2 linked regions of the Drosophila melanogaster genome follow. The protein of the gene in region 1 purifies or fractionates together with the protein of each later gene. This does not show direct contact. Each region holds a gene or a part of one and is shown in the gene's direction. Other genes may lie near its edges.

Region 1 (5,644 bases):
GCCTTGCTCAAGAGCTGGCCTGGAACGGGTACATTTATGGTTAGATCGATTAATAAATTAAAAAGGGGGTTTTCAATAAACTTTGAGATGCCAAATAGTAAAATATCTTTCATTAGTTTGATTAGCAAACCCACCGAGTGCCGTATTATTGAAGCAGTGAATGAGCTCCACCCGCAGGTGAGAGTGCATCTCCCGGGCAATCCCCTCCTGGTCCAGCCACTGGCGGAACTTCACCTCGAACTCCTGCTCCGACATCGCGGCCAGTTCCTCGAGCTGTTGCCTCAGCCGTTCCGCCCTGGCATCGGAGTCATCCTGCTCCTCAATCTGATCCTGAGGAATAGGTACGTGCTTTCTGGTAGGCCTTCCTGTGCGGTATCCGTGTGCTCCAACCTCCGGGGGCAATGATGATCCCCGCGTTACTGAACACAAAATGGGATTATCAGTGAATATGAATCGCTATTAAGTTCGTAAAGGTTTATTGTACTGAATATTTTAATTTGAAAAGATTATTTTTCGAACAAATTTGTGTACGTCGGAGTATAAAGATTGCTGGTTTCTTAGAGTTATAATAATAATAATAAAAATAGTTATAATAATAATATTAATAATAAAAATAATTATTATAATAATAATAATAATAGTTATAATAATAATAATACTTATAATAATAATAATAAAAATATTAATATTATTATAAAAATAATAGGCCCACCTCTAGTTATATTTGATGGTCCGCACGGTCCTGGTCTGCCCAGTCCGGTTGCTTGGAGTCGCTCCCTGGACTGCGTCATTCTCCGCCTGGCGGGATCGCCGTCGGTGCTGATCCTTCGATTATGCTGGCGCACCCGCTGTGTCGCCGACGCCGCTGTGGCCCGCTCCTGCTTAATCTGCTCCTCCCGCTCCCGCTTTGCGGCCTCGTGCTTCCGCTCCCGCTCGCAAGGCATGCCGATGCCGCCCACATCCCGCTGCTTCGCCCTGAACGATAACGTTGTCGTGCTCGCCGGCACGTGGCGAACCTTCATGCCGTCCTGAAGGAACTCGAGGCTCGGATGGGATCGAGAGTTGGTCTGCGTATGCTCGGATAGAACCTCTGACCGCCGCTTACATGCGCCGCGTTTGAGTAACTGAACTTTCCAGGTAAAACGAGCACGAGCGCAAGACACTCACCACCAACAGCGAAATGTGACAGGTGCGACGGAGCCTGCCCTGCCACCTGGGAACTGAGTGAAATTGGGGAGGAGGTCAACTCGATCGTCGGGGGTTGGTCCTCCTAAAGGCGTCAGCTGTGTTGCCTATGTGAAGCGTGCTCTAAAAATTAAGTGAAATATATGACAACTGAGTTCTATGAAATGGTATTCTAAGCAAAAGCTTATTTATCATAAGTAATTGCTCACTAATACTTATAACGGCGGCAGTATTTACTGCCGAGCCCATATTAAAACAGCAATACTTCTTGTGGAAGCGTGTATTTGGTGTATTTTTCACAATAATAATATTTTGAATTTTAATTCAAAACAGTTCCGCTTTAAAGTTGGCAGTTGACTATCGATAGATAATTGTCCGCAAAACAGCTGATTGCTAAGTAGTAAGTGCATCAGCCGTACTGACGGTGAAACTGAAATATGAGTTTCTTGCGTTAAATGGTATAGAAATAATATAATATAAATCAACAAGCACAGCTGTGTTTGCCAATGCGTTTTTATAAAAAACCAAATTTGAAGACTTTGACTATTAACGGGCAGAACGTTCATGTCAGTCAGCTTTTGCAAGCGTTTCGCTGTGGCTGACAGATGGCCGAGTGCTGCAAGAGCCGATAGCTATCGAGTTGCAGTTGTTGTGTCAAACGACAAAAAAGACCCAATTGCGGTGATTCCACCAGGCAGAGCTTATCCCATACGAAGACGCAGCACAGTTCACATTAAATAAATTTCCGTAAATAGTTCTTATTTGTCACCCGCCCAAAATTAAAGTCTACTCCACTGCACCCAACCCCGCGATTATCAACGACTGCGCATCGTTCTTTGTTGTTTCGTGTAGAAACACATGTGCAAGGAAGAAGAAGAACCAGAACATCACATCACTCGTAAATAGTAAATATCTAGAGCATGCCCGATCCTTTGTGACGCGTCAGTTTCAGCCAGTTCGCCACAATTTTTGCCAAGTCATCGTCGAAAATGTCACAAAACGACAACCTACTCATCCAGATCCGCGCCCTTCTCCAGTCCGATGGCGAGAAGCTGTGGGAGGAGCCCTACTACTCCGAAGATCTTGGTAGCATCGAGGGAGCACTAGAAGTACGTACTATATGCCCACCACCCCACACCTAAATGCCTTCCAGTCAGTGGTCGGGGAAATGACAAGAATGCCTGAAATACGGTTGGCAATATAGAAATATTATATTCAAAATGCATATATTATATATATATATATATATATATATTATATATTTATTTGTTAGTTCTTTTCACATTTGAAGAAGTAAGAAGCTAGTTTCGACAAGCCGTAACTTATATACACCTTCAGCTAAGTTCATATTATTAACACTTATTTTAGTTTGATTAGTTTGATCATATGATATTATTGTCCAATTAAAAATACTTAAAAAAAAAACAACATGACATTGCACAAACGAATCTTTTAAATTCCTATTATACTTTAATAATTCTGAATTACAAGAGTAACGACAAAGATATTATTTAGTTTCCTTATATAGGTTTTTGATCTGTTTCGCTTCGACTTATTTATAACGCCTAGAATAAAAATAAGATTTTAAACCGATAGATTTGTTGGCGTGTGAAAATGTGATTGCTTTCTTGAATTATTATTTATTTTTCAATAAATAGAGGTTGAGGGATTTTAAAAATAAAGTAAGACCAATAGTAGTCAAAAGAATAGCACATTACCAGCATTCATACTCAGGAACTCAGTAGCTTTGGATTAATATAATATATAATATTTTATTCTATAATAAGATGTGTATCCATTTCATTAAAGAACCTGGCGCAGAAGTACTCCGGCATGTTGGGCATCGATATAGGTCGCTGCAAGTTCTTTTTGACCGAGCTGCAGGAAAATGCTCTCCGTACGCTGGCCGCCCGACGTGAGTTCAGCACCACAGGAATTGCCACGTTGAAGGTTCGCCGCGTTGGCGAGCACAGCGGTGCCACAATGGTGGAAGTGAAGTGCAGCTTGGACATCGTGGGCTCCGAACTCCAGGCATGCATAGCGAAGAAACTGGAAGTGCCGAATGCTGCGCACGTCAAGTGCATCGCTGCCGGCAAAGTGGTGTCCGCCAATGCCACTTTGGCCGACCAGCAGTTGAAGAACAACCAGCAGTTGATTGTCATTGTGGGCGATGGGGATAATTCTGGCGAAGCCCTGTACGAAAGGATCAATCGCATCAAGGCCGATGTGGAGGCGGTGGTGTCCTCGAAGAATAACCTAATAGAGGTGAGTAAATCGGAAGGAAAGTTGCTTAGGTTGTTGTTTAGAAGGTTTTTTAAATCACACCACTTGTTTGTATTTTCGTGTCATGCCCAGATGGAGGATCAGAATGGCAGCCAAGTGTATTTGCCGCCTTCCGAGCATAAAGCCCTGCTCATGGGTTTGGGATTCTGTGAGAAGGCCCGTGCGGCCATGAATCGCAAGCATTTTGAGGAGGCTCTGCTCCTGCTTTTGGAGGCCGACGAGCATTTTTCTACCTGTGGCTCAAAGTTTCTAGAGTCCGTGGATAACTATGCTTTGCTGAACCTCGACATAGTGTGGTGCTATTTTTGCCTGAAGAACGTTACCCAGCTCCCGGATGCTGAGCATCGCTTGGCCCGCTGCAGTCGCAATTTCGGCATCAGCTATGGCGACAATTTGGAGAGGCTGTACTCCTTGAAGGGCAAGGACTGTCCCGAGAGGGCTTTAATTATGCGGCTTAAGTTGCTCCAGGGCGTGATCTTCTTCCACCAGAATCTTCGCAATCAGGCATTTGAGTGCTTCGAAGCGGCTAAAACTCTGCTAAATGAACTAAAGATCAACAACGACCAACTGGCTCTCCTGGTCGATATGGGCTTCGAGCCCTCCGAGGCTCGTATGGCCCTGCGCTCCTGCAAGGGCGGCACCGCCGTCGAACAGGCTGTTCAGTTTATTCACGAGCGTCGTCAGCAGCTCAAGAATGCACGCATGAAATATAAAGCGTCCGAGCGTGCTATGGAGCGCCGCCTGAAGCGCTCCAATTCCAAAGATTGCACCTGGGTGAATCCCCGCAGTGTCTGCAGCCTTGCTGACATGGGATTCGAGAGCGGACTGGCCACTATCGCCTTGCAGCGCTCTAATAATGATATCCTCCAAGCGGTAAGTGTGGCCAAGAATATATTCAATGACATGAATTGATCAGTATGTTTTAACTATAATCTCATGGATGTCACGTGTTTGTAAACTATAAAATAATAGAAATATTTTTTTCTTAGGTGGAACTGCTGCAGACAGAATCGGACGAACTTACTGGTGCTTCGCCATGGTTTCCGGTCACCGTAGACACGACCAAACTGGCTCAGCTTCTGCAACTGGGATTCAACGAGAACGACTCGCGCGTGGCCCTACAGAATGCATCAAATAACATGGAAGAGGCCATCGAGAGTCTGATGTGCGCCATAGAGAGCGAGGAGGAGCTGAAAGCGATTTTAAAGCACGTTGGGCGTTTGGCCGAAAATGGTGGGCAAAATCTTGACGGCCCCTCTACTTCGAACGCCTCCGGGCAGACGCAAGTTGCTTTGCCAGCGCCCATTATCGAAGCTGTTATCAATCATGCTCGCGTCGAGATTGAAACGTACAAGGCCTACGAGCGCTTTAACTCCGACCTCAAACTGAGCGACCTGGAATACCTGGACTTGCCACTTATCCAGGAGGAGAAGATCCTGACTGAGTATTTCAATATGCTGCAGCAGTAGCTTGTATTTGACTTGCCTTTTTTATATCTATACAAAAAAATATAGAAACCCGAAACCGGTTGTCAAGATAACTGTAATCATGACTTGTCTATATTGCAAATCGTAGTCTTATAATGGCACTTAAGTGGCATTCAGCTCCCCTCCCGGCTGCTGTTTGTCCAACTAGGCAAATAGTAAAATATAGAGATTTATAAGTACATGCCTTCTATTGACAACTGCAAAATGTGATTGCGCCGAGCCAGCGGGAGAATTCACCTTTTGGAGCCACCTGAAACTTGTTAGCGCCTCTGGTCATTGCTTATTTTTTTTTTATCGTTTGTTTTTTTTTTTGTCGCTTGACTCTCGACCCCGGCTCGGACGGCGGCGCTTGATTGGGTTCAGTCGTGACCTTGTCGAGGCCAAAGGGCGCCGCTCACTAAGCTCATCCCGTCGACGAATTGAGCGGAACTTACACGATTTGCTGTAAGTATTTGCTTTGCTTAGCAAAGAATTTATTTATTTATTCAAGTAGCACCAAGACTAAATATTATAAGTCAACTAATTGGTTTTCTATATGTATGTACATACATATGTGTAAAATAGTAATTTTCTATTTATACACGTTACTCGCAGAGTGAATAGTATGTAAAATGTTGTCTTGTACAAATTGGCACGGTGCCATAGGATTAAAGTATCCTGCGGCAAATGTGTTGCAAACATGTGTTTTT
Region 2 (4,799 bases), on another chromosome or scaffold:
ATGAGCGTGCCAAGTACAAGTGTCTCTATTATCTAGTGGAAACTGCCATGGCTGTGCGCCAAAACGATGACGTCCAGGATGACGATTTCGTTTACATGGGAGACTAGAGCCTCAAACCAAATACCCACGCTACAGATCCCGACTTCCCAAAGTGCCGAAGCGTGTATATACAAATATGTATATATAGATATATATATATACTTAAGTAATTTAATCGAACAGCACTAGACCCAAAAATTTGTCTATAACCCCCATGTTATTGTGTTAATTGAGTAGGTTACTAACATAACGTACAAAGCTATAGATCAATTCGCAATGCGACCGCCCAAATACCTTTTTCCACAAAGTCAATTCACAAACAAATCGACTTAGTTTTGGACCTGACTCTTTTAAACTTAACATGTACACTACTGATACTTAAATAAAACATAAACAAGCATTTGAAATACACATTGCCATAAAATGATGGTGTGTTTTATCTAATTGGCTGATAGAGCCATTTTTTTAAGGTATCTAGTAATTATGTACACATACATACATAAAATGAGAACGTTTGTGGAAGGACAAAATTAATTTTGTTATAAATATTATAAATGTATTGGAATACTTTGGTTACCACAGATAATAAAGAGTGGCGCAAAAACAAAATGATTCGATTTTTAACTATAAAGCTATAGAACAAAAAAAAAGAATGATATATTCGAGTTCCCCGGCTATCAGATACCCGGTACATATATGTGAAAATGTGAACAAGAAATTTCATAATTTTTCTGGGGTATTGATAGATAATTCGGAAAAAAGAAATATCCAAAAATTTTCAAAAATGAGGGCGTGAGTTTTGCGCTGTTTTAGGGCGTTACAGTGGGCGTGGCAAAAAGTTTTCATTTTTCAAAAGTGTGGGAGTGGCATTTTGTACGGTTTGAAAGCGTTGGAGTGGACGTGGCAAAATAGGTCCACAAACTTGTGATAGTTCCTGACTTCATACGAACGGACAGTCAGACGGACGGACGGACAGGTCGACTCGGGTATTGATCCTGATCAAGAATATATGTGTTTTATATGGTCGGAGAAGCTTCCCTCTGCTATTACATACTTTATAACGAATCTAGTATACCTTTTTACTCTACGAGTAACGGGTATAACAAGTGACGATCGCACCTCCAACATACAAATCTTCTGAAATCAAAATGATATTACATTTGACCAAATAAATGCGCTTGTCTAAATTTTACAAATCAAAATTTTTATAAATTTTGGATAAGGTAAAAAGTACATTTCGAGACGCCCGTTACTTGGGCGCGCAGTGAATTTGTCTAAATATTCATGGTCTCTCGTGTGCAAGCGCAATGTTTGTGCGATAGTTATCGATAGTTGGCCCTAACTTAATTAATTTTAAATATTTATAAAATTCTCCTGTACTTAATTACTTACTTTAATACGTTCGATACAAGCAGACCGATTGAAAAGAACCATTTTTAAAAATCAATTGAAAAAATTTGTTTTTGAACCCTAGTTGGCCATGACTTTGGTGTCTGAATGACTTGCCTGCCCTCGGGAAAAGTTAGTTGAATCTCAAAGTCTGTGGTGACAACACCTAAAGAAACTAAAAAGTGTCAATTTTCTCTGTTTGCAAAAATTGTAATTAAAGTTACTGTGCTTTTCCTTTCAATATTTGCACACCGATTCTGGTTGTGTTTTAATGAATTTTCTGTTTTCTGAAGCTTAAGTCTGAGCTGCAATGATCTCGCCGGAACAAGAGGAGGTCAACATGGTCCTGGATCGCCATGTACGGCAGAACATAAAGGACCTGATGCACGAGGCTCATGTCCATGCGAGCCTGCTGAACAACGAGGGTGAGTTTCCTATATCCCGGTTGAGATCAGTCTTGTTTATGGCCGTTTTTTTCTCCAGGACGTGACCGTTTCCACTCGGACTCCAGTTTGGACCAGGATTCCCTTCACGCCGTCGTTGGGAATGATCTGAGCACCGAACAAGGCGCCAACCAGGTGCAAAACTACCACGACATGATGGTGGACAGTGAACACCACGTCGACATTAATGGGTCGCTGCGCAAACGTCGCGGAAATCTGCCCAAGTCATCTGTAAAGATTTTAAAGCGTTGGCTTTATGAGCACCGCTATAACGCCTATCCGAGCGATGCGGAGAAGTTCACCCTGTCCCAGGAGGCCAATCTGACGGTGCTCCAAGTGTGCAACTGGTTCATCAATGCCCGTCGCCGCATTCTACCCGAGATGATCAGGCGCGAGGGCAACGATCCTCTGCACTTCACCATATCGCGACGTGGCAAAAAGGTTAGCCCCAACTGTTCGAGATCAAGTGCGTTGGGCGCAAACTTGACTGGGCCGAATCCCGCACACGGAAGTCCTGCTTCCGAAGTGGTGTGTTATCTTCTGGTCAATCATTATACCACTGAAGTTACTAAATTGCTTGACTCCAGGTCGTTGGCGCTACAGAGGAGGTGGATGGCGCCGGTGAGATTCACGAGGGCATCGCCAATGTGCTGACCAACTTTGAACAGTATGTGCAGGGCCCCAACGGACAAATGGTCAAGATGGAGCCGGAGTACGAGGACAGTGTCATCTACAGGTAACTGGTAACCGGTCTTTATGACCTGCTTCCCTAGCGTTAGTCACTTCTATCTCCTATCCCATCCCACCTACGTCCAAACTCCTTTTCCTCTTCCAAGCTGGCAGCAGGCCATTGCAAACAACCCGATGGGCTTTCAAAGTCTTCACTCCTCGCTTCAAGCAACCATGATCGATAAAATTAAAAACTATCAGATGCGCAAGGCTGCCGCCATTGGGGGTTCGGCGGTTGGCTCTGGTGGTGCTGGTGGGTCGAGCTCCAACTCCAGTCCTGCCACATCCATACTGCCATACAGCCTTTTTGGCCAGCTGCCGCCAGAGTTCGATGACGAAGAAAAGCCAAGACCTCCGAAGCGCGTAAGAACGCGGACGGTTGCTGCAAAGAGTCCTAGGGAGAATGCCAAGCAAGCAAAGCAGAAGACTGGGAATAAGCAAGAAACCATGTACTGCTATAAGGATTCATACGGCGGAATCGTGGTGTCTCCTAGGTACAGCTTCTGCTCCCATTGACTGATCCAGAGCCTTAAATCTTACTCAAGTGCGACTGGCGGTGCTAAGATTTTACTTTTACCCCCAGGTCCGAAGGCGAAGAGAGTGCACAGGGATACGAGTCCTGTGGGCCGAACAGCGAGGAGGAAGTACGCTTCGAGACCTCCCATGATTGGCAGAGCGTTATAAAGTAAGTAGCTATGTGGATGTATTAAGAAAATATTGTAATCTCGGCCTCTGCAATTCCAGAACTGTATTTGGGACTGAGGAAGTCAGCACTTCGGCTGGCAATAATCCAGGTACCTCTGGTTCTAAGGCATCTGTTCAGAATACCGCCATCTGGAATCGCAATCAGACTGCGAAGCGTGACGGTGAGTGAAGTTTGCAGACTTAGAGCTCGGTTTCTTTGGTAATATCCAACTCTTTTACTCCTAAAGTGAATCAACAGTTGACAGACTTTGAAAGCGAGCTGAATATAATACAGGCCTCAGAAATCCAGACAATCGATCCTACCAACTCCAATCAACAGGACATTGGTGACAATCTACAGGCGGACGAGGTGTTTACCGGTGCCGAAGCAGAAGCTGGCCAGAGTCAATTATCTGCTCTATCGCAGGGTAACCTATACCTGTTTTTATTCAACTTTTTAATTATTTTATAACATTTTTATAATTTTATTTTAAAATCTCGCTTAGGCACCAGTTCAGATGAGGAGGGCAAGTACAAGTGTCTCTATTATCTAGTGGAAACTGCCATGGCTGTGCGCCAAAACGATGACGTCCAGGATGACGATTTCGTTTACATGGGAGACTAGAGCCTCAAACCAAATACCCACGCAACAGATCCAGACTTCTCAAAGTGCCGAAGCGTGTATATACAAATATGTATATATATATATATATATATATATATATATATATATATATATATATTTAAGTAATTTAATCCAACAGCACTAGACCCATAAATTTGTCTCTAACCCATGTTATTGTGTTAATTAGGTAAGGTTAGTAACATAATGTACAAAGCAATCAATTCGCAATGCGACCGCCCAAATACCTTTTCCACCAAGTCAATTCAGAAACAAATCGACTTAGTTTTGGACCTGCCTCTTTTAAACTTAACATTGTGTACACTACTGATACTTAAATAAAACAAAAACAAGCATTTGAAATACACATTGCCATAAAATGTTGCTGTGTTTTATCTAATTATTAATATTTTGATAAATTTTGGATAAGTTTAAGAAAAAAGTTTTAAACCGCTTTTACAACGTAAATCATTAAATTGCCATTCTATAGATGTTTTCCCCAAACAATTGTTCTTTCCTAAATTGGTACAGTTAATGTTTCATTTATACAATTATGCTTTGAAAACATATTTCGAATTAAGTATCAAAGCATTTTCCTGAATGATGGTTAGTGGCCTTCGGAGGGTGTCTGATTCGTCACTACGTAAACTATTTATGGTGGTCTAGCGTGTTACAAGCTCTGCGAGTGGAGATACTCTTCAAAGAGTAGGAGCCGATTTTTCAATTGCATGTTTGGTATAATTTCTTGATATGCTTTCGTACATTGTTGCATTTTTATTTATTTATATCCATTAATACCAATTTGACGCACATTCTTATATTTACCTTCATTTGACGTCCCAGTATGTTTTGGTATTTCCCAGTATAATATTCGGTTGTATATACCGTCCCGT

What was found. The genes of interacting proteins can lie anywhere in the genome.
Region 2: the proteins of CG15445 (region 1) and vis purify together in Drosophila melanogaster (affinity purification with mass spectrometry, with the first as the bait; 2 studies listed by BioGRID). This does not show direct contact.

What each region holds. Positions count from the first base shown.
Region 1 is NC_004354.4:21,115,322-21,120,965, forward strand, and holds CG15445 (uncharacterized protein), read left to right. Parts: upstream 1-1,839; 5' UTR 1,840-2,083; exon of another isoform or gene 2,084-2,141; 5' UTR 2,142-2,174; coding exon 2,175-2,294; intron 2,295-2,994; coding exon 2,995-3,450; intron 3,451-3,540; coding exon 3,541-4,341; exon of another isoform or gene 4,342-4,426; intron 4,427-4,457; coding exon 4,458-4,937; 3' UTR 4,938-5,123; downstream 5,124-5,644. Other genes in the region: unc (uncoordinated), read right to left, coding at 1-19, 135-419, 713-1,022.
Region 2 is NT_033778.4:12,507,379-12,512,177, reverse strand, and holds vis (vismay), read left to right. Parts: upstream 1-1,562; 5' UTR 1,563-1,738; coding exon 1,739-1,853; intron 1,854-1,911; coding exon 1,912-2,312; coding exon of another isoform or gene 2,313-2,399; intron 2,400-2,458; coding exon 2,459-2,607; intron 2,608-2,707; coding exon 2,708-3,094; intron 3,095-3,183; coding exon 3,184-3,285; intron 3,286-3,344; coding exon 3,345-3,466; intron 3,467-3,532; coding exon 3,533-3,712; intron 3,713-3,790; coding exon 3,791-3,909; 3' UTR 3,910-4,282; downstream 4,283-4,799. Other genes in the region: achi (achintya), read left to right, coding at 1-107.